Lonchura striata: one gene and its partner. The protein of the gene in region 1 purifies or fractionates together with the protein of each later gene. This does not show direct contact. Links are inferred from orthologs where the notes say so. Each region holds a gene or a part of one and is shown on either strand. Other genes may lie near its edges.

The links. Proteins that work in one complex are often made in the same cells at the same time.
Region 2: the proteins of PPP4R2 (region 1) and TIPRL purify together in Homo sapiens (affinity purification with mass spectrometry; 5 studies listed by BioGRID and IntAct, counting the BioPlex papers as one, with this or other methods). This does not show direct contact. The link is inferred for Lonchura striata from reciprocal best matches to the Homo sapiens genes PPP4R2 and TIPRL.

What each region holds. Positions count from the first base shown.
Region 1 is NC_134614.1:20,819,023-20,828,939, forward strand, and holds the start of PPP4R2 (serine/threonine-protein phosphatase 4 regulatory subunit 2), read left to right. Parts: upstream 1-5,908; 5' UTR 5,909-6,052; coding exon 6,053-6,086; intron 6,087-6,783; coding exon 6,784-6,865; intron 6,866-9,917. Other genes in the region: GXYLT2 (glucoside xylosyltransferase 2), read left to right, coding at 400-507. UniProt on the Homo sapiens protein: Regulatory subunit of serine/threonine-protein phosphatase 4 (PP4). May regulate the activity of PPP4C at centrosomal microtubule organizing centers.
Region 2 is NC_134604.1:23,234,034-23,243,891, reverse strand, and holds the start of TIPRL (TIP41-like protein), read right to left. Parts: upstream 3,519-9,858; 5' UTR 3,394-3,518; coding exon 3,293-3,393; intron 924-3,292; coding exon 744-923; intron 1-743. Other genes in the region: GPR161 (G-protein coupled receptor 161), read left to right, coding at 7,385-7,752, 8,276-9,000. UniProt on the Homo sapiens protein: May be a allosteric regulator of serine/threonine-protein phosphatase 2A (PP2A). Isoform 1 inhibits catalytic activity of the PP2A(D) core complex in vitro. The PP2A(C):TIPRL complex does not show phosphatase activity.

The DNA of each region.
Region 1 (9,917 bases):
CCCTATGGGTGTGTGTAGGAGTGCTCAAGGAAGCAGCAGAGAACATGATGTTACTTTGCAAGTCTGTTGAGCAGAAGACATCAGCTATTACTCGGATCTGCTCATTTTCGTATCTAACAGGCAAAGTAGGAGCAGGGTGAGATAATGGAGCCTTCCCTTAATGAAAGGAAAACTGGCACAGACAGGACACCCTGTACATGTATCATACATTTATTTGTTAGAGAGAAATGCTTGGGGACTGTGGATGAGGGAAAGGATATGTTCCCATAGTTAAAACAGGATTTCTGAGCCATTGCAGTTTTGGGCATTCTCCCCTATTGAGTCAGGACTAATGCAGGGATAAGAAAACACCAGGAGTCTCCCTTTTATCTCACACATTTCGCTTTCCTTGTGTGGCAGTTCCTGAGAGGAGGGGAAACACGACATTGGTGCCATCCCAGGCTGCCAGACAAGAGCCTGTGCACGGGATGGAGTTCCAGCAGGCTTTTCCCAAGCCCTGGAGTGTGAGAGTGTCTGTGACACAGCCTGGCAGAGAGCAGAGGAGCAGTGGGACAGGCTTGGAGTAAGGGACAGCAGAACTGCAGGACCTCACAGTCTAACAGAAACTTTGTTTGCACCTCTGCTGCAAATCATAATCACAGTTTGGTTAAACAACATATTCTGACTCCAGCCCTTATCTCACAGTGTTTGCCACCTGAGTGTAAATTGAGTGAAGGACAGAGGCAGCTTGACTGTTGTGATTGAAAGCCTGGGACCCAGAAAATCACTTAAACTTGAACAGAGATGCCTTCCCAACTTGCCTTAGGATTTTCTATTTCAGCTGAAATAGAAAAATGTGTAAAAATTGCCAACTGAAACTTCACCTGTACATTTCTACCTTCTGAGAGAAGTTTGAAATGTAACCCAAGTGAGTGTTGAAGATTTCAGAACCAGAAGGCAGAGAAAAGGTAAAGCTGCTGATTTAAAAAGTTTAAAATAATGCATGAAGGTAAACCTTTAGGCCTGCAATTCTGAGAGCTTGTATAAAGTATTAGCTTGCTTTTGGTCTTTATTTTCAAATGACAGGGTAATGCTGACACAGGTCTAACGAAGCTGGTGGAGCTGCATGCTGGGCAGGCCAAATTCCTGATTTCTGTGGTGTCTCCAAGGTACAAACAGCTGCAGAGCAAAGTCTTGCTGCCCAGACAGCTGCAGCCCCAGTGCTGAGGCTCTGGAGTTTCAGAGGCTGTGGTTGTGTAAGCTGTGATTCAGCAGAACCCTGCAACTACGGGCACATTCAAATGAAGGAGTGGAATTCATTATAAAACAAAGGCATTGCATATGAACTGATAAGAGATTAAAGCAATGCTTTTCATGTTCACAGGAGGTGCTACATTTTGTTTAGGAAGAACTGAGTTGTGTTTTCAACAGCTATTAAATATATGAAGTACTTGCTTTAACATGAAGACTCTTGTTAATGTAATATCAGCTGGCAGGAAGAATGGGGGAGGAGCCCCCCTGCTGGGCTTTTTCTGAGGGAAAAAAAAACCAATAATTTGAGCTCTCCAAAGTGTTTAAAAACAATTACATAACTTTGTTTTTTGTTGTCGTTCAAATTATTAATTTATATTTCACTACAGCTTCCAAAACCATGTTATATTTTATTTTTAACAGTAGTTGATTGTAATATTCATCTTACTTAGAAACCAATCTTAATTCATTTTGTACTTCATACTTGTGGCTAATTCCTTGTTAATTAGCTTTCATTTATCTTAATAATGGGATGTGTAAATACTTACAAAGACTTTATGTCCTCATTTCCCCTTCCTCTCCTGTGTTTTAGTTATTTCCAATGGTATAATGGATAGAGCTCACCAGCATTTTGCTTACAGGGGAAACTGGAAACTGCTCAGTGTGTGTGTGTGTGCGCACAGCACAAGCATGTCTGTAAAAAATGTCCCTTTTCTCTGTCACTGAATTGCTTGTGGACTTTTCTTTGACAAGTGCACTGATTGTTACAGCTCCCAAGGAGGCTGAGCAGTGCATTTCTGAGTTGAGGATGATCCCTTGGCTTACAGTACAAATAAATGAAATTTTAAGCAAGCTCTATAATTTGCTAGTTTTCTTTTAAATGCAAGATTTTGTGCTGGTCTGGTTGGGGTAGAGTTTTGTAGGTGTGATGTTTTAGTGTGTGTATACTGGGTTTGACAGCAGGGAACACAGATAAATGTTGCTCTTTTACAGTTTTACTGTAGTGAGAGAGTCTGATATTGGATATAAAGAGACAAATGCATTTAACTTTCCCCAAAGTGCTCGTGTGTCATGCTGCAGCTCCAGCTGTGTTACAGCGAGCATAGATCAGATCAGCATACTTCTCTCAGAGGAAACTGGAGTTTTATCTTTTACTCTTTACTGTTTCTCCATAATGTTTCACTCCTTGGAGGTAATTTAGTATCATTTCCCTTCCCTTCTTGTATGCATTTTTTTGACGTTCTTGTATGGTCACTGCTGTGCTGCCCTTGCTTGTGACACCCCTGTGTGACAGAAGCTCCTGGGCTGTCTGTTCCCAAATCCTGCTGCTGACACTGGTCCCAGCTGGGTGCTGTGTTGGGCTCAGCTCTCTGAAATCAAGAATGGATGGGCAGAGGTGGGCCAGCTGTAAAACACCAGCCTTGTGTGGGTTCTGGGAAGGCTCTGGGTGTGTGGGGAGTGTTACACACTCACAGTCACACTGCTCAGATCCAGGCTTTTTCACTTGGCAAAGTTGGCTCCAGCCAGTATTGCTGTGGGGAGAAGAGAGATTTCCCAAGCTGGGAATAAAGTACAACTAACTGAAAGAAATAAATCTTGACACTTTCTCAACTGTCAGAGAATCCTTTTCTCCTCTCCATCAGGTACAATAAAATGTGATGGTGGTAAATAAAGAGTGAGCACCCTCCAGAGGTGAGATGGGATGGGGCAGTCACCAGGATAGTCCCTTCAGGGAAACATTCCCCACTGCTCTTGGGACAAGTGCTGGGATCAGCCTGCACCTCCCGCTGGCACGAGATAAGGAATTGTTATCTGAGCTTCAAAAGAAAGAGTGATGTTTGGAAGTTTTGCTTTCATTCTGGATCAGAATAAAAACCAAACTGTCAACACTTCCTTTGAAATGAAAATGGAGACAAAACACCAAATTGAGAATCAGCATGGAAGAAGAACAAAGCACTTTGTTAATGTTTTGTTTTGAGGTGAAATATTTTGGTTTGACTTTCACATTTCTGTAAACGTACCTTAATTGTTGCTGTTACTTTGTGAAAACTGCACTATAGCCCAAAAGTGTAGTAATTTCAGTATTAATTTGTATTAATTCTTTCAGTATTAATTGGTAATTAATACTGAAATAATGGCACAGAAATGACATGGCTCTTTATTTTAAAGACCTGTTCTTGTAGAAGCATCTCTTCCGAATCCCCCTGAAAATGTTAATTCCCTCTTGTGAGGGTTAGAACTGTGCACAACAGGTTCACACCTTCTTGGGGTTCACACCTTCAGGGAAAGATCTCCTTCCCATTCTGCTCAGCACTTCCAAAGGGCACCGTGGTTCCTCACACCTGAGGCTCCAGGTGCGAAAACAAGGCTGGTTTTAGTCTGACTGATCCCAAAGTTTGTGGCGTGATGTCAGGAATCTCCTGTCCCAGGGATATCCTGGGAGGAGGGGGTGAAATACAGCTTGGAAAGAAAACTTGGCCAGCCAGTTTGCCACAGGCTCTTGGATTAATAGGAGACAATCCCTGGGGTCCTGCTGGGACCAGTGGCTGAGCCAGGTAAAGCCTGGAATGTTTGTCACATCTGACTATTCCTTGGGTATTTGTGTCTCCTCTGGGTAATCTTTCAAAGAAACAACTCCCACAAATACCATTTTTCTCTTTTCAGCCTCTTTTTTTAAAGCACTCTGTGTGAGCTGTTCTCATCTTTTGATACTCCCAAGTCTTCTGATTTTTTAAAAGCACAATAAAGATGTTTAGTCATTGTCTCAGAGGAGAAACATAATTTGTCTCGAGGTGGCTGTGATATACTTTAAAGAAAAAAACCCAAAACTTTCCTTCTCTGGATGTTTCAGAGATCCATGATTTTTAGTGTCAAGTTATTGTACCATACTCATGTTCTGCAGCTATAAATTTAAACAAACCAAACAAAACCTCTATGCTCCCTTTGATGTGTATTGATGTACAATATTTTCTGAAGACCTAAGTGGGTCTTGAAATATAATATTGTTGTCATTTTCTTATTGTTCTCAGTGGATTCTGCTGCATCTCCCTTGCTTGAATGCTGAATTGAATTGCTACAGATTGTTTCAAAGCACAGCAATCAATTTTGGTTCAAACTGGGTGGAAATACCTTACAAATTGCTGTCACACTTCAGTGAAGGGAAACTGCTTTAAGTCAAGTCGGGTCAGGGATCTCTAGATACCTAATCTAAGCTTCATTACTCAGAGCAGAAGTAGCTGCTGGTCTTACACCACAAATAATTTTAATTATTGATTCATGCCCAAGGGTTGAACAGCCTATAACTCTCAAAAAGTATGTTTTTAAATCTGAAGCATAAATCTTAATGAGGCTTAGTGTAAATTCAGTGGAAGAAACAAACAAAAAAACCAAAAAAAACAACCTGGATTGTAAAACAGCTTCTCATTGTCTTTACCTAGATGTTTAAACCACCACATCTTCCCCAACAAGGTTATTATTCTTATTCTTGGGTCTCAGTGAATACTCCACAAACAGGCTGGGAACTGACACAAAATGAAATCATCCTCTTTGTGTACATTTTTATTACAAGGTGTGTCAAATACCTTACAAGGAGTAATTATAATTTGTTTCATTAATGAAGAAGCTCAGGTGTGATTGCCTCACCCGTTTGCCTGAGATCACACAACAAACCGATGATGAAACTACCTACAAGCTTTTTGTGTCCTAGGATTACTTTTAAATGTTTCAGCTTTGAAAATGGAAGGAAAATGTCATTTGCTGTGAGCTGAACTCTTTCCTAGGTAGTAGAGGGGTTGGGATAGAACCTTTTATCTGCTCTTTGCCAGAAGGAGTGACAGCTCTTTCCTCTGCCAGGGCTTTGCATCCTCAGAGCCAAGAGCTGGCACAGGATGGGCGAGGGGATCATCCATCCCCAGGAGCACAGGGAATATGTGGGAAGGAGGAGAGTGAGCGGAGACCTCACTGGGATGTGCAACATCCTCGTGTTTGGGAGCAGAGGGGACCGGTCCCCATCTCTTTCTTCACTCTCGTGACCAGTGACAAGACTCGAGGGAATGGCATGAAGCTGTCGGGGAGGTTTGGGTGGGATATTAAGAAAAGATTCGTGTCCCAAGACTGTGGTGGGGCACTGCCCAGGCTCCCCAGGGCATGGTCCCAGCCCCAAGGCTTCCAGAGCTCCAGGAGCGCTTGGACAATGCTCAGGGTGGGATTGTTGGGGTGTGTGCGCGGCCAGGAGCTGCACTGCATGGTGGACCCGTTCCAACTGGGGATCTTCTGTGATCTCCTTGAGGTTAAAAAGGCACGTCCTTGCACAAACAGGGACTTGGGGAGGGCAGGAGGAGCGCGGTCACCCTCAGTCAGAAAGCGAGGAGGAAAGCACGAGAGCTCTCTGAGGGGCCGGCGCGTGAAGGGGAAACGGCTCCGCGTGGCCTGCCGCGAGGATCCGCAGGGCAGGGCCGGCATGAGGAGGACGATCACCCGCGGCCGGCAAGCCAGCCGCGAGCCGCCCTCAGCCCGCCCGAGCCCTTCCCGCCGCTTTTCCCGCCGCCGTTCCCGCCGCTCCCTCACGGCCGCCGGCCCCGCCCATTGGCCCCGCCCCGCCCACGCGCCCCGCCCATTGGCTCCGCCCCGAGGCTCCGCCCATTGTCTCCGCCCATTGGCTCCGCCCCCGGCGGGCGGGGCCGCGGGGCCGCGCACGGGCACGGCGCGGGCGCCATGTTGGAGCGTCGCTGAGCGCGGGGTGCTGCTGAGAGCGCGACCCGGTCTGCGCGGGACTGGGGCGGGGGAGCCGCGCCGAGCCGCGGGGGAATCGCCCGGGCGGACCATGGACGTCGAGAGGCTGCAGGAGGCGCTGAAAGGTGGCGGCCAGGCTGGTGGCGGGGGCTGGGGGAGCGGTGTCGCCGCGCTGAGGGGAAGGCTGAGGTTCCTCAGAGCCTGTGGGGGGAGCGCCCCTCGCTGAGGGCGAAGGGTCCCCGCGCTGTGGGGAGGGAGCTGCTCGCTGTGAGGGGTCCCGCAGAGTGGGGAGAGGCCAGGAGTCGTGGGGAAGTGGAGGGCAGAGCCCGCGGTCTCCCTGCCCAGCGACCCTCGGGGCTGCGTGAGGGGGATCAGCGACTCTCGGCTCTGCCCGGCTGCCGCCCTGGACACCCCGGTCCGGCCGCCCCTTCTCCCTCATTCCTGCCCCTTCCCCCGCATCCCGGCCCCTTCCCCCGCATCCCGGCCCAGCCCGGACCTGTCCCCTTCTCCCTCCGCAGCCCTCTCTCTTCTGGGCTCAGCTTGAGCAAATCGCTCTCTTTCTGTGCCGTAGCTGCTCGGAAGAAGTTGCAAATCAACTTTTGCTACTCTGCTGCGTGCGGTTTCTCCGCAGGAAAAATAATAAGTGTTTCCCAGGGCTGAGGAGCTGGTGGAGTTCATGGGAACAGCCGGGGCATTGTGAGAGCACAACAGTGTTTTTGTGGGAGCTGTACTGATAGTTCAAGCAAATCGCTAATTATTGTGAATTTTTGTTCTGTCCCATCTTCATTTACCATTCTTTTTGTGTCGTTCTCATGCCAACAGATTTTGAGAAGAGAGGAAAGAAGGAAGTGTGTCCAATACTGGATCAGTTTCTTTGTCATGTTGCTAAGACTGGAGAGACGATGTAAGTGTGACTGTTTTGGTGGTCCTCAGTCGTGACTTAAAACAATTCTTGCATTTTACGTCATTGAGATTCTACCAGGATTCTTTTTTTTGCCTGTAGGTTGCTTCAGTGGGCTAAATAAGCTTTCCTCAGTTCCCATTTAATTTTGTATTGATTAATTTAGTTTGCTGATAGTTTGATCTAACGAGGGGAGACTTCTCGTATAGGCTTTGCTCTGATGTGCCTGTCAGGTCTTACTGATCCTACTCAGCACAATAAAAAACCTGTTGCTTTCCCTGGATTTTTGAGAGAGATTCAGGTTTTGTATGTTACAAGTTAAGCTGCTGTTGCAATGTTTTCTATACACTGTTGTATAACTGTGTTTGCAGTATCTACATTGTGTTATTTACATAAAGATTGCAGTCGCTCACATTGTTTCTTTCTGGGCTCTGTAACCATCCTGTGACTGTCTGGGCGCTGCTGCTGAAGCGGGGACGATCCGGAGGCGCTTTTGCGGACGGGGATGTGTGGGAACCGCGGGGAGCGCCGTGTTTTTCCCTGGTGCGGAGGGAATTTCCCTCGTGCCGCCCTTTGCGGCCGCTTTCCCGGAGCTTTCCCGGGAGGCAGCGGAGGGAGCCGCGCTCCTTGCGGGGCTCGCTGCTGGTGACTTCCTTGCGGCTCACTATCTGGCAGGAAGGGGAAAGGCTTCCCGGCTGCGCTGCCGGATTCGTGCTCACTTTCTGGCGCCCGGGCTGTCTCCTTGTTTTTGAGGCCTAGTGCCAGACTACGGCTCCAGCAGGGAGATATGCTTTTACGAGTGTTTTGTGATCAACCACCGACCCGCAGGGGCTTTGTTTGAGTTTCGAGAGTCCCGCCAACTTATTAGAGGTTCTGGTGATTTTTTTTTTTTTGGTAGCTTGCTAGTGCTGCTTGGATTAATGGTTTAGAAAGAAAAACAAGTTCTGAAATGTACTTTGCTCTTTGAATAGAAGGCTCATGCTCAGCAGACATACACAGCTGTAATGCTTCATGTTTTGGTGTAGTACTTATTATACAGAAAAAATACACCACAGTAAGCCCATACTAAAATATGTTTAAAATATTTTTTCCCATTCTGAGGTATTTCTTCAGGTTGTTTTTACTGTTTCTGCCATTATCATGTATATTCCAAAGTATTTTTTAAAAAGTGATTCTATAGGGCCAAATTATTGGGAAAATTGTATCCTTTCTGATTTTATTTTCATTTAGGAAATCTAGGTTTATTTTTATTATTTTTATTTTATTTTTACAAACTTAAACCTCAGCTGGAGTCTGTAATCTGATATACAGATCCTGCCTTCTGTGTTTCCAGGGTTTTCTTGCAATTTTTTTTTTTTATATAGTTTTTTTAAAAGGTGTTGGATGTGAACATCAGAAATGCCTAATATAATCTGGAGATAGGCATGGAAATACTGTTTTATAATACTGTATTTGCTTCAGATTATCTGCCAGAGTCAGTATTTGGTCATCAGACATGTGTTCATCAGACTGATGTGTTATGTATCACAATATCAGGGGGAAAAGTGAGTAAAAATTAAAATCTCCTGGAAATCACTCATATGAAGATTACTAACGTGCCTTTTAAGAGCTTAATGTATTTTTAAGCTGGTACAGCTTGACAAGTACAAGTGTTCTGGAATAGGCAAACCTACCAAATACATGCAAATTTAAAATGCACTAGATAATCTTTATTTTGACTTATGTAAAAACAACTTTGTTGAATAGAATCTAAGCCAGTAATAAATAGATACTTTGGAGTGAGAAAATAAAATACTCGTTTGTAGTGACATTTGTTAGGATTTTTACAAAGTCAGAGTATAGTTAAAAAAAACAAAACAAGCAGGGATGATGGTTTAGTCAGGGGTAATTACACCCATGGTTTGCAGACTTGATTATTGAACAATGATCTTACTCAGTCACAGCCTGTTCCTAATGTAACAAACAAAAAGTACTGAGGCAAATCAGGACAAGTGAAATGTGAAATATTTTTGTGTTCAGTTGTTAGTTCTAGGAGAGTTACATGGTCTTCATAGGAGTTCTGTCAGCTTTTTAATTTCATCACAAATGCTGATTTTTAGAAGATAAACTGCAGTCTCTATCCTGGGGTGAATGCTCTCATCCTCCATACGTTTCCAGACGCAGTTGCAGCAGATTTTGGTGACTCAGTAAAATTAGTTTGAAAAGGTAGTAATGAAGTAAATTAAAGTGACATTTTAGGTTCTCCTCAAAGCTTGATCACTCAGCTCACCCAACAGATGGAAAGCACAGGCTCAGGTGAGATCGTTGGGTGCCTCCCTGCCCCCACTTGTTGCAAAGTGCTTATTCATCTGAGGGAGCTGGGAACAGGTAGGTGCAGGTTTAGGTGAGGCTCTGATCTTCCTGGGATTTCTCTGGCAGAAGCCTTGGCTGGTGCTGCCCGTGGGTCACTGTTTCACTTGGGCTGTCGAGCTGCTTCTGCAACTCCACAGGAACCTGGGGCAGGAGCTTCTCACAGTCCTGACTCCTTAGGACGAGGTTGGGTTCACTGATCCACGTGTTCTGTCCCGGTGACTGGTACTGCCAAGCTGGAGAAGTGGTGAAGGGCAGGAACGGAGGGTGAGGTGCTAAAGCCACCAGTGCAGCCATGACAAGGCTCCTAGTATCTTTATTATAATTAGAGGTCTTTTTCACTTACAAGGGAGGTGTGGAACAAAAACATTGCTAATTTTGGTTCTATTATCACTGTAAGCTTAGATGTGTTATCACTACTGTGCAGTAAAATTCTGATCATACAATGATGTACATTCACTTCATCTTTTTGAAGTTGAAGTTTTCCTCTTGTGCAAAGTTAACCATTCACTTAATTGCTGTTGAGATTATAGCCTACATCTACAGAAGCCAGTCTAAACTTCCTTTATTAGAGGTGACAGAAGCAAAAGTCTTATTGCTTGGCTACTATGAAATATTTTTGTTTCTTAACAGTTGCCAAGGTAAGACTTAGCCTTAGGTGAAATACAATATAAAGTTTGTTTTTCAACCTTTTTGAAGTTGTCTT
Region 2 (9,858 bases), on another chromosome or scaffold:
CTGTGCATTAGAATTCCCACACTGCTCCTAAAGAAAAACAGCAGCATTGTCTGAGCTGCAATCACGTCAAGACTTAATCATGGTTTCACATCTGTTTCCATAATAACTTTGAAAACAATTATCAGAATTCTCCATCTATCTCCATTCTATGACTCAAAATAAAGATTCTCATGCAACATTGCTGAGAAATTTGTATTTCAAGATCAGTATTTCTTTAAGTAGGCAGAAAGTGATCTCTTGACAACACACAGCAATCATTAAAATTGCAATTTGCCTTAGTTTTCATGATAACTTTGCTTTGTTTCTGGGCTTTATTCCAGATGCTCTACAACTAAATCAAATTTGGTAAATACTAAGCATCATAATTAGTTCTCATGCATGGTGACTGTTCTGCTTTATTCCTAAGGCTAAGATTTTGAACACGTACAGCACTTTGCAACACCACACAATACAGTCTTGTAATGCTCAAGGCTCTATGAGTTTGAATAAACAGAAACAGCATTAAGTCATTAAACTTGACATTTACTTTAAGAAAGATATGACACAGCTGAAAAATATAGCTGGCCCAATTTAACAGAAAGGATGATCACAGCAAAGAAAAGTGACTTCTGTGATTACATGCTGTATCTAGGGTACAACCAAATGCAATGTGGTCAAGAGTTCAGTTTGTTCCTTTAACTACTGTATAACAGTTTCATATATAACACACCAGTACTTCCCCTCTGGTGATAAAATTACTGTACCTGCTCTCTTGCCACTCCGCTGCACAAGCGACTTTGATCATACCTTGACAATTATTGACACATTTTAAAGCATCTGTAGCATTGAACTCAATTCCAAAGCCATGGTCATGCTGTATTCTTAAGACATTGTCTCCAAACATCATCTCTGGCAGGGAAGGCATGTGTAATTCATCAGCCAACCTGCAGAGAAAAATAAAAGAGGTATCAGTCAGCTGACCACAGCTCAATTAAAGCAGTTCTTGTTTTGGAAGAAGGATTCTTTAGACCATGATAACTTAGAAGATACATCACCAGGTTAATAATTTCACCTGAAATGCAGAGTCATTGATCTGAAGTGACTTTTTCACCAAAAGAAGTACTCCTAAAACATTCCTACACCATCAGGCTCAGACAAAATTCTAACACATGAGGAATCAAGAGTATGTGAGAAGCATGTAGAAGCAATTTTCCATCTGTCCTAGCAAACCCCTGGATGGGCAGTGGACCAACTTCAGTAGGTGCTCAAAGCAACTTTTAGGAACAAGGACTTATCATGAGGAAGATTGAATTCACTGCACAGTGGTCCATACTTCCAAATTTAGAACCCTACAAAAAAGATGCTTATGACAACCTTGGCAGAGTATCTAAAAAGTGCAGAAGACACTACTGTGCTCTGCTGGTAGAAGACATGTACTGGCACACTTCCTAAAATTCTTTAGAAATTCACACTTCTTTTCCTCCTTACCTACCTGACTTCCCAAAATCAAAAAGGAATACATGACATCTGGAGAGAAGAAAGCTTTAGGAAATACACTTATTTGAGTGAGGGGAGGGAGAAGAGTGTCCTAATCATAATGTTCACATTGATAACAAGGCATTCCTGAACAAAAATGGTTATTTCTGTAACCCTGAATACAAAAGAACAGTATTAACTTAACTAAAATAAAACCAGTAAATTCACAGACCTGGAGAATTAAGATTCTACATTTTTGCCAAAGAAGACAATGAAACCTTTCCATTTCATCAAGTGTAAGAACCCTTTCCCTGCAAAAACCAACCCCTGCATAGAAGAGAGTTCTTGGCTATGGCACATTTAATCCTTCACCTTTCCACACAGGTTGCTGAGGAATTTTTACAATATCTATTTGCCAGAAATAAAATTCCTATGGATACTAATAATGTCCTCCAAGCAATAAAATAGACAAAATGGGTCGCTGTGACCTTGTTGCACCTCCTACAATGTGGCTGGCCTCAGCTCATTGATTCAGCCTGCCCAGATCCTTCTGTTGAGCCTTCCTACCCTTCAGCAAATCAACACTTCCACCCAGCTTGGGGTCATCTGTGAACCTACCGAGGGTGCACTCTATCACCTTGTCCAGACTATCAATAAAGATATTGAACAGGACTGGCCCCTGAGCCCTGGGGAACACCATTGTTGATGGGTCACCAGAAGGATGTAAGTCCCATTCACCATCACTCTTTGAGCTCAGCCATCCAATGTTTTACCCAGCAAACAGTGCACACATCCCAGCCATCAGCAGCCAGTTCCTCCCAGAGAATGCCTTATTAGCCTCAGAAAAGGTAAAAGCAAGATAAATGAAAGTACATTTAACAAGACTAATGAGATTCTCATGTACACTGAAATTTATTCCAGAAAATGAAACTAAGAAATATCTGCCAAATCCATCTGCCATTAAGGTCAGTTATGGCACAGCTGAACTCTCCAGTTCCACATTAGCAAATCTGACTTAAGTACTTAATGCTGGTACAGGAACATTTCCTCCAATTATTTCACTGGATTGGAAATTCCTACAGGAAGAGAGCAAATTATAAATTTTTAATGAAAACCACTATTTAAAAATAGCTATTACCAAGACATATGACATTAAAAATATTCCTTTTCAAAAGTAATTAAGACAATTAGCCTTCTAATTAGTGGGTCTCAGTTCACAGAGATTTGGATCCAAAACCATTATAATAATACAATCAGAATTGTTTGAGTTGGAAAAAAACCTTAAAGGTCAAGTTCCAACCCCTCTGCAATGGGCAATGACACCTCCACTGGACCACGCTGCCCAAAGGTCCATCCAACTTGGCCTGGAACATCTCCAGGGATGGGGCATTTACAACTTCTCTGGGCACTCTGTTCCAGTGACTCACCACCATCACAATCAGGAATTTCTTTCTTAGGGTCCAATCTAAATCTCCTCTCTTTCAGTTCGAATCCATTCTCCCTTGTCCTCGTACTACCTGCCCTTGTAAAACGTCCCTCTTCGTCTTCTTGTAGGCTGACTTCTCCAATCATTAAAACAAAATTTTGGAAATCACCTGTAACCCAAAATTCTCCAGCCAGAGAATCAAGCTTGAAGAGAAGGAACAACCCCGGGGGCCGAACAGGGTCTCCCCCGCCCTGGGAACGCTCGGTGTTTCCTTTGCAAGGCCACCCGACAACCCCAGCCCCTCGCTGTGACGGCCGAGGCCGCAGCCCCGAGCAGCGGGGGCTCCCCGAGCAGCGGGGACACCGTGCTGTGCTGTGTCCCCCTGCGTCCCCGGCCCGGAGCCCGCCTCACCTCTCGGCCTGCGCCGACTTCATGATGTGCGTTCGGGCGGCGCTCAGCTTCCACGGCCCGAAGGTGAAGTCGCGCCGGCTGCTCTGGAAAACGGGGTGCATGGCGGCCTCCTCTCCGCCGAGCAGAAGGCAGCAGGCGGCAGGGGCGGAGAGGCGGAGCGGAGGAGCCCCTCTCCTCCCGTCTCCTCCCGCACGGCACTCACGGCAGCGTCGCGGCCCCGGAACCGCCGCCCCGCAGCATTTCCGCTTCCAGGGCCGCGCGGCGCGGAGCCCCGGCGGCGGTTGTGGAGGAATCCTGGGAGGCATCGGGAAGAGCGCTGCCAGCAGGGCGACGTAGAGAATCCTGCCCTTCTGCTCAGCTCTAGTGAGCCCACATCTGCATTTTCTCTCCAGGACAGGAGAGACATGGAGCTTCTGGAGGGGGTCCAGCGGAGGGCAGCGAAAATGATAAAGCGACTGATCTCCGTTAGGTGGAAGGGCTGAGGAAGCTGGGCCTGTTCAGCCTCGAGAATCGCTGGCCGAGAGAGGCACTCATCAATGTGTACACATATCTAAAGAGGGGATTCCAAGAGTATGGATCCAGACTCTTCTCCGTGGTGGGACAAGAGGCAACAGGCAGAAACTGATGCACAGAAATTCCAGCTGAGCATGAGGAAGAAATTCTTTACTGTGCAGGTGACCGAGCACTGGAACTGGTTGTCCAGAGAGGTTGTGATGCCTCCACCACTGGCGATATTCCAGACCTATCGAGACACAACCCTGTGCCATGAGCTCTGAGATGACCCTGCTTGAGCAGGGTGGTCAGATCAGATGACCCGTTGTGTCCCTTTCCAACCTACCCAGGCTGTGACTCTGGGAGGTGATGTGAGGGGCAGGTGGGTGAGAAAGGGGGTCCACACTTCTCTGTGCTGCTGGAGCTTCCGTAGCGAGAGTAGGCTCTTTAATCTCCCCTGCTCAGGATGAAGAGCCAGCAAACTCACCCAAGCCTCTGTTCCAGTGAAGCTGGACTGCAGAAGCCAGCTGAGAATTTTGTGTGCCTTACAAGTGCTTGTGCCTCCAGCCACTTCCCCATGGGTACTTTGCTGAGAGGAGTGGGACGGCTGGGTACAAGCAGTTTTGGGGAGCTCTGGAGCCTCTGGTGGCCCTGGGCCATCTCCATGGCCACACTTACAGTTGCAGCAAGCATTACGTGGCTCCATCACACAGGTGCCCTGTGCTGTGTTAGTACACACATATGTGTGCACACAGAATCACATCTGAGCAAGGTTAGAATGGGGCACAGTGGATCATGTGGTTCAACTTCCCTGTTCAAGCAGGGTGATCCCAGAGCACATGGCATGTTATTGTGCCTAGACAGGTCTGGAGTATCTTCAGTGAGGGAGACTCCACAACCTCTCTAGGCAACAAGTGCACAGTCACTTGCACAGGAAATAAGTTCTTCCTCACATTCAGGCACAACTGTGCATCAGTTTTTGCTGGTTGTGAAATCTCTTGTGCTGGATTGATACATTTTTGAATGCTGTCCAAAGATGGTCTTTTTAAAATGTCGAAGTGCAATGATGTGGTAAGTTTAAAAAAGTCCTGTAGAAAAGTATCAGTAGAACTGGTTGAAAATTATAGATCACCTTAATATTCCAGCACTGATGGGTGGGTGGTTGTCTTGCTTTTCTGCATCATTGAAAGGGCAGACTAACTCCCTATAGCCTTCCCCTGGCACAGGAGCAAGACACACCGTCCAGCTCCTGCTGTTGGAGCATTGGAGTGAACTGAGGCAACAGCCATAGGAAACTGATGTCCACAACATTAAAAACTCCACAGAGCAATCAAAACCCAGCACAGCTCACATCAGGGCAGTCACCCTCTGCACTCAAGGGCATTGCCAGGAAAGGCAGGAACTAGGAAGACACAAGCACGGTATTTAATTTTTGTTCACCCTTTATATTGTGCCCTGTATACTGAACCTATATCCGATATCTTGCTTCAGAGGTGCGTGCGGGAACAACTCTTCCCCAAATCTTCTTTTTGTTACTTTTAATAGTGTTTTGGGGTCTCGGAAGTATACCACTTAGACTCTAAAGCTGCATGGCACTACAAATCGGGGCAAATGACTTTACCTCATCCGTGTGAAGTACTTTCCCCCTGCCTTTTAACCGAGTTCCCGGGACGCGCGGACCGACCCAGGGCGGCAGGGGGAACATGGCGGGCGGGGAGGGGGCGCGGCGGGCTGAGGCGGCGGGGCGGGACGGCGGGAGGGGCAGGCACGGGCCGGGGCCGTGCCCATGGCGGGGGACGCTCGGTGTCGGGGGTCCTGGGTGCTTCAGCCAGGAACGTCCCGCTTTGGCGGCGGCGGACGGTGAGTGCGGAGCCGGGGAGGAGACAGAGGCGGCGGGACCCGCTCTCCGCCGGCGGGTGAGGGGGAGGCGATGGATGCCCGGGGCGGACGACCTATTCCAGCCCTTTGTTCGCTGCCGGAGGGAGCGCTTGTGCAAAATGGCGAAACCCCCCTTCCCCACCGTATTTACAACTCAGTCCCACCCGCTTCGTGGGTGTGCGGGAAGCCTGACTGCGCTGCCCGCGGCCGGGATAGGATGCGGATGCTATCCCCGCCACGGGCAGCCCTGGCCCGGGAGGGGCCAGAGGTCGCTTTCCCCCTCAGGGTGCAGCAGGGCCGTGAGGGGAAGCGCCAGGTGCCCCGGCTATCGCTATCGCAGGGAGCGGCTGCGGGGGAAGCCGCCTTTCCAAAACCCGCTCCGGCCAAAAAGTGTTGGAAGGGCACACAGAGGTGGTACAGGCATGCTGAGACAGAAAGAAACTCAAGGGGAAGTGTTTTTTGCACACATCCTCAGTCAGAGGCTAGGGAACAGCTATATTACATTTTTTCAGTGCATGGCCAAGTAATGTGTTATGTTCCTAGGAAAGTACAGATAAAAATGGAAAAAAGGCGTCTTTCCACACTGACAGCCCTGCGTAATTCCACAGCAGCCATGCAGATGGAAGCATTTCTGTGAGTACTGTCTGGGACCCATGTTTGGCACAGTTGCAGAATTAGCTAAGATAACTTTCCTGAGGCCCTTACTTCCTAGAAATGCTAAAATCAACTTTATATTCATTGGTGGACTCTTTTACTTTTTTTGGTCTGTGTATTTGAATTTTTTGTTTCTTTCTTAGTTCTTATGCCGTCCTGCAGATGGGTGAAGCACTGAACAAAGTAGTTAGTGAGTACCATTTAGAGGCAGCAGGGAAAAGAGGAATTGCTAAGGAATTGGAAGAAATAACAAGGTTTCATAAAATGAGGCTGTGAATCAATGGGATGGATGCTAACACTGAGAAGTCAAGGTTTAAAGGTTCTAAAGCATTTCTATAGCATGGACCTTATCTTAATGCAAGGAAGTGTCTTTCAGACCTCATGTACAGAAAGCCAATTCCTCCAATCCTTTGGTGTTGGCAGTAAAATACAATCAGCAGCATAGCTAAGTTGATTGTGAACACACATAATAGATGTAAGGAGAGTACATGCAGTGGTCCCTGAGTCTTTGAATGTTACTTAGCAACTGTTAAGAGTCAGCAGGGTATGACTAGCCAGGCATCCATAGACCACTAGCAAATGCTGTATAGGCAGAATACAAAGTAACTATCAGGATAGGCAGAATTTTCTAAGAACTTTCTTTAAAGTAAGAGAAAAAAAGATATTTGATATTTATCTTGTTTCTTGAAGAAATAAATTACATTCTTGTTTTTTCACAGCCTAGATGAAAGGGCTAGTAAGTAGGACTTAGAAACAAGTAAGGTCTGTAGAAAATCTGTAGAAAATCTGTATTTTCTTTCTTATTTTCCCCCCTTATCTCTTCTTGTCTTCCCTGTTCCAGGCTTGGTGTTGTCCTCTTTGGTGTGCTCACAGGCAATTTACTGCCCCTTCACTTGCCCATATAAAATATGCAATTTCCTGCATACTACAGGTAAATTTTAACACAGGCAAAAGGGCCTCCAGTCTTGGGAAGGAGTTTGAAGAGCTATTACCTGAATGTTTCTGAGCGTTGTTCTGCTTCTAGCTGCTCAGCATGTCTTGGCTGCTCCAGGTCTGCATGCTCTGACCATGAGCAGCAATTCCTCCCTCAGCAATGGGAAGGGCCTGAGGAACCTGACCACGGAGGAAGACGGGGCAGTCAGAGTCACTGAATCCATTGCTATAATTGTCATTGCCATCTTCATCTGTTTGGGCAACCTGGTGATTGTTGTCACTCTGTATCGCAAGTCATACCTTCTCACCTTGAGCAACAAGTTTGTGTTCAGCCTGACCCTCTCCAACTTTCTACTCTCCGTGCTGGTGCTGCCTTTTGTCGTGACCAGCTCCATCAGGCGAGAATGGATCTTTGGCGTTGTTTGGTGCAATTTCTCAGCCCTGCTCTACATGCTGATCAGCTCAGCCAGCATGCTCACTCTGGGACTCATAGCTATAGACCGGTAAGCTGCTCTTCAGTAATGCATTGTAACAAATTGCCTGCTCCTCTCATAGAGGAACCATGGCTTGTTCACAGAGTTGAGAAGCACTGCAGAGGGTTACATGGTGTACTGCCAGAGTGTCATTTTTACTTCAGCTCCTCATGAAATTTTAATGTGGAGCAAGAGAACGTGATTTCATCAATACTGGAAAATGCAGACATTCGTCTAGAGTTTTTTAAAGCTTTTGATGGTATAATAACACACTATTTAACAAACATGAAATAGTGACTTAAAATTCCAGATTATACCCTAAACATACAATCACACATAGGTACAGATTTCATGGTTGCCTGTGTCCCTTCAGCCAAGTTTGACAGTCTTGACTGCAGTGATACCTACTTTTATATGTAACTATTTCTAGAAACAGGGCTTCTAAGCCTGTTCGAAGAAAAAAGAACTAGATACCAGCATCATTAAAGCATGTTCTTTTCTTTATTGCATGTCTTTTATGCTCCTGTGGTCTACTTCTTTTCTTGCCCCACAGGTACTATGCTGTGCTGTACCCGATGGTTTATCCGATGAAGATAACGGGCAACAGAGCAGTGGTAGCTCTTGTGTACGTGTGGCTGCATTCCCTTATTGGCTGCCTCCCTCCCCTTTTTGGCTGGTCCTCTTTGGAATTTGACCAATTCAAGTGGATGTGTGTGGCAGCCTGGCACAAGGAGGCTGCCTACACGGCCTTTTGGCAGATCTGGTGCGCGCTGCTGCCATTCATAGTCATGATGATCTGCTACGGATTCATATTCCGTGTGGCCAGGATTAAGGCCCGCAAAATACACTGTGGGAGTGTTGTCATTGCAGAGGAGGACTCGCAGAAGAATGGGAGGAAGAACTCCAGCACCTCCACGTCCTCCTCTGGCAGCCGAAGGAACACTTTCCAAGGGGTTGTTTACTCAGCCAACCAGTGCAAAGCTTTCATAACCATCTTGGTTGTCATCGGGGCTTTCGTTGTTACGTGGGGACCTTACATGGTAGTAATAACATCAGAGGCACTTTGGGGTAAAAACAGTATTTCCCCTGCTTTGGAGACATTGGCTACATGGCTGTCCTTTTCCAGTGCCATTTGCCATCCGCTAATTTATGGGCTGTGGAACAAGACAGTGCGCAAGGAGCTCCTGGGAATGTGCTTTGGGGATCGGTATTACCGCAAGTCCTTTGTTCAGCAGCACAGGACATCGAGGCTCTTCAGCATTTCTAACAGGATCACAGGTGAGATGTGGCTGCAAAAGACACTTCTTTAATACCACCAAGAGCAAGGCTTCCTGTCTGCCTGTGTTTGGCATGTTTCAGGGCTCTGTAAAGAGAGTTGGATGTTTCTGGAATTTTCAGCAGTCTTTTATCAGTCAGGTTACATTTGAAAGGAGAATTTTTCTCTTTTTTTATAGTTAATATCATTCTCCTACTATAGTAAAACTTCCTTAGGCAGAGAAGACATAGCGATGAGGTTAATAAAGATAATTTATTTTCTTCTTTCTCAAGCATTTCCTTTTGAGTGCCTTCCATTTTGTGTTGCCCAGATTTGAGCTCTACCGACAATACTTTTTACTGCACTTTTTTGATTAATGGCCTTATGCTACAACTCTCTAAAATCCACTAAGGTTCCACTGGCGTAACTTTATGCAAGTTCAGCTTTTAGGTTTAATGGTTGGGAAGAAAAAATCATAAACAAAGTAAAACTGGGTAAAACCGTAGAACTATTTGGTGTATTCCCAAGTTGCAGACTGAGACCAGACCTCCAGTTACTCAGTTTGGTGGCTTGTTTATTTTTTTTTTAAAGTATCAATGTGGTGACATTCAGATTTTTATTAATTTCCCTGGTCATGTTCAGAAGCTTCCAAAAATAAAATATCTTCAAGGGATATTTCATGCAAAGGCCAGAACTGAAATTATTTAATTTGGAAGGATGATCTAAAATGCAGAAGGAAGATGAGACCAGCAATGCATCCATTATCTTTTCTGCAACTTGGAAACACTGGGAGAGACTGTCACATAAATTAAAGAGTTTTGGAGCTGTAGCCACATAACAACCTCCAGGAGCTTTGTCAAGTCTGTATTCTGGAAATGCTA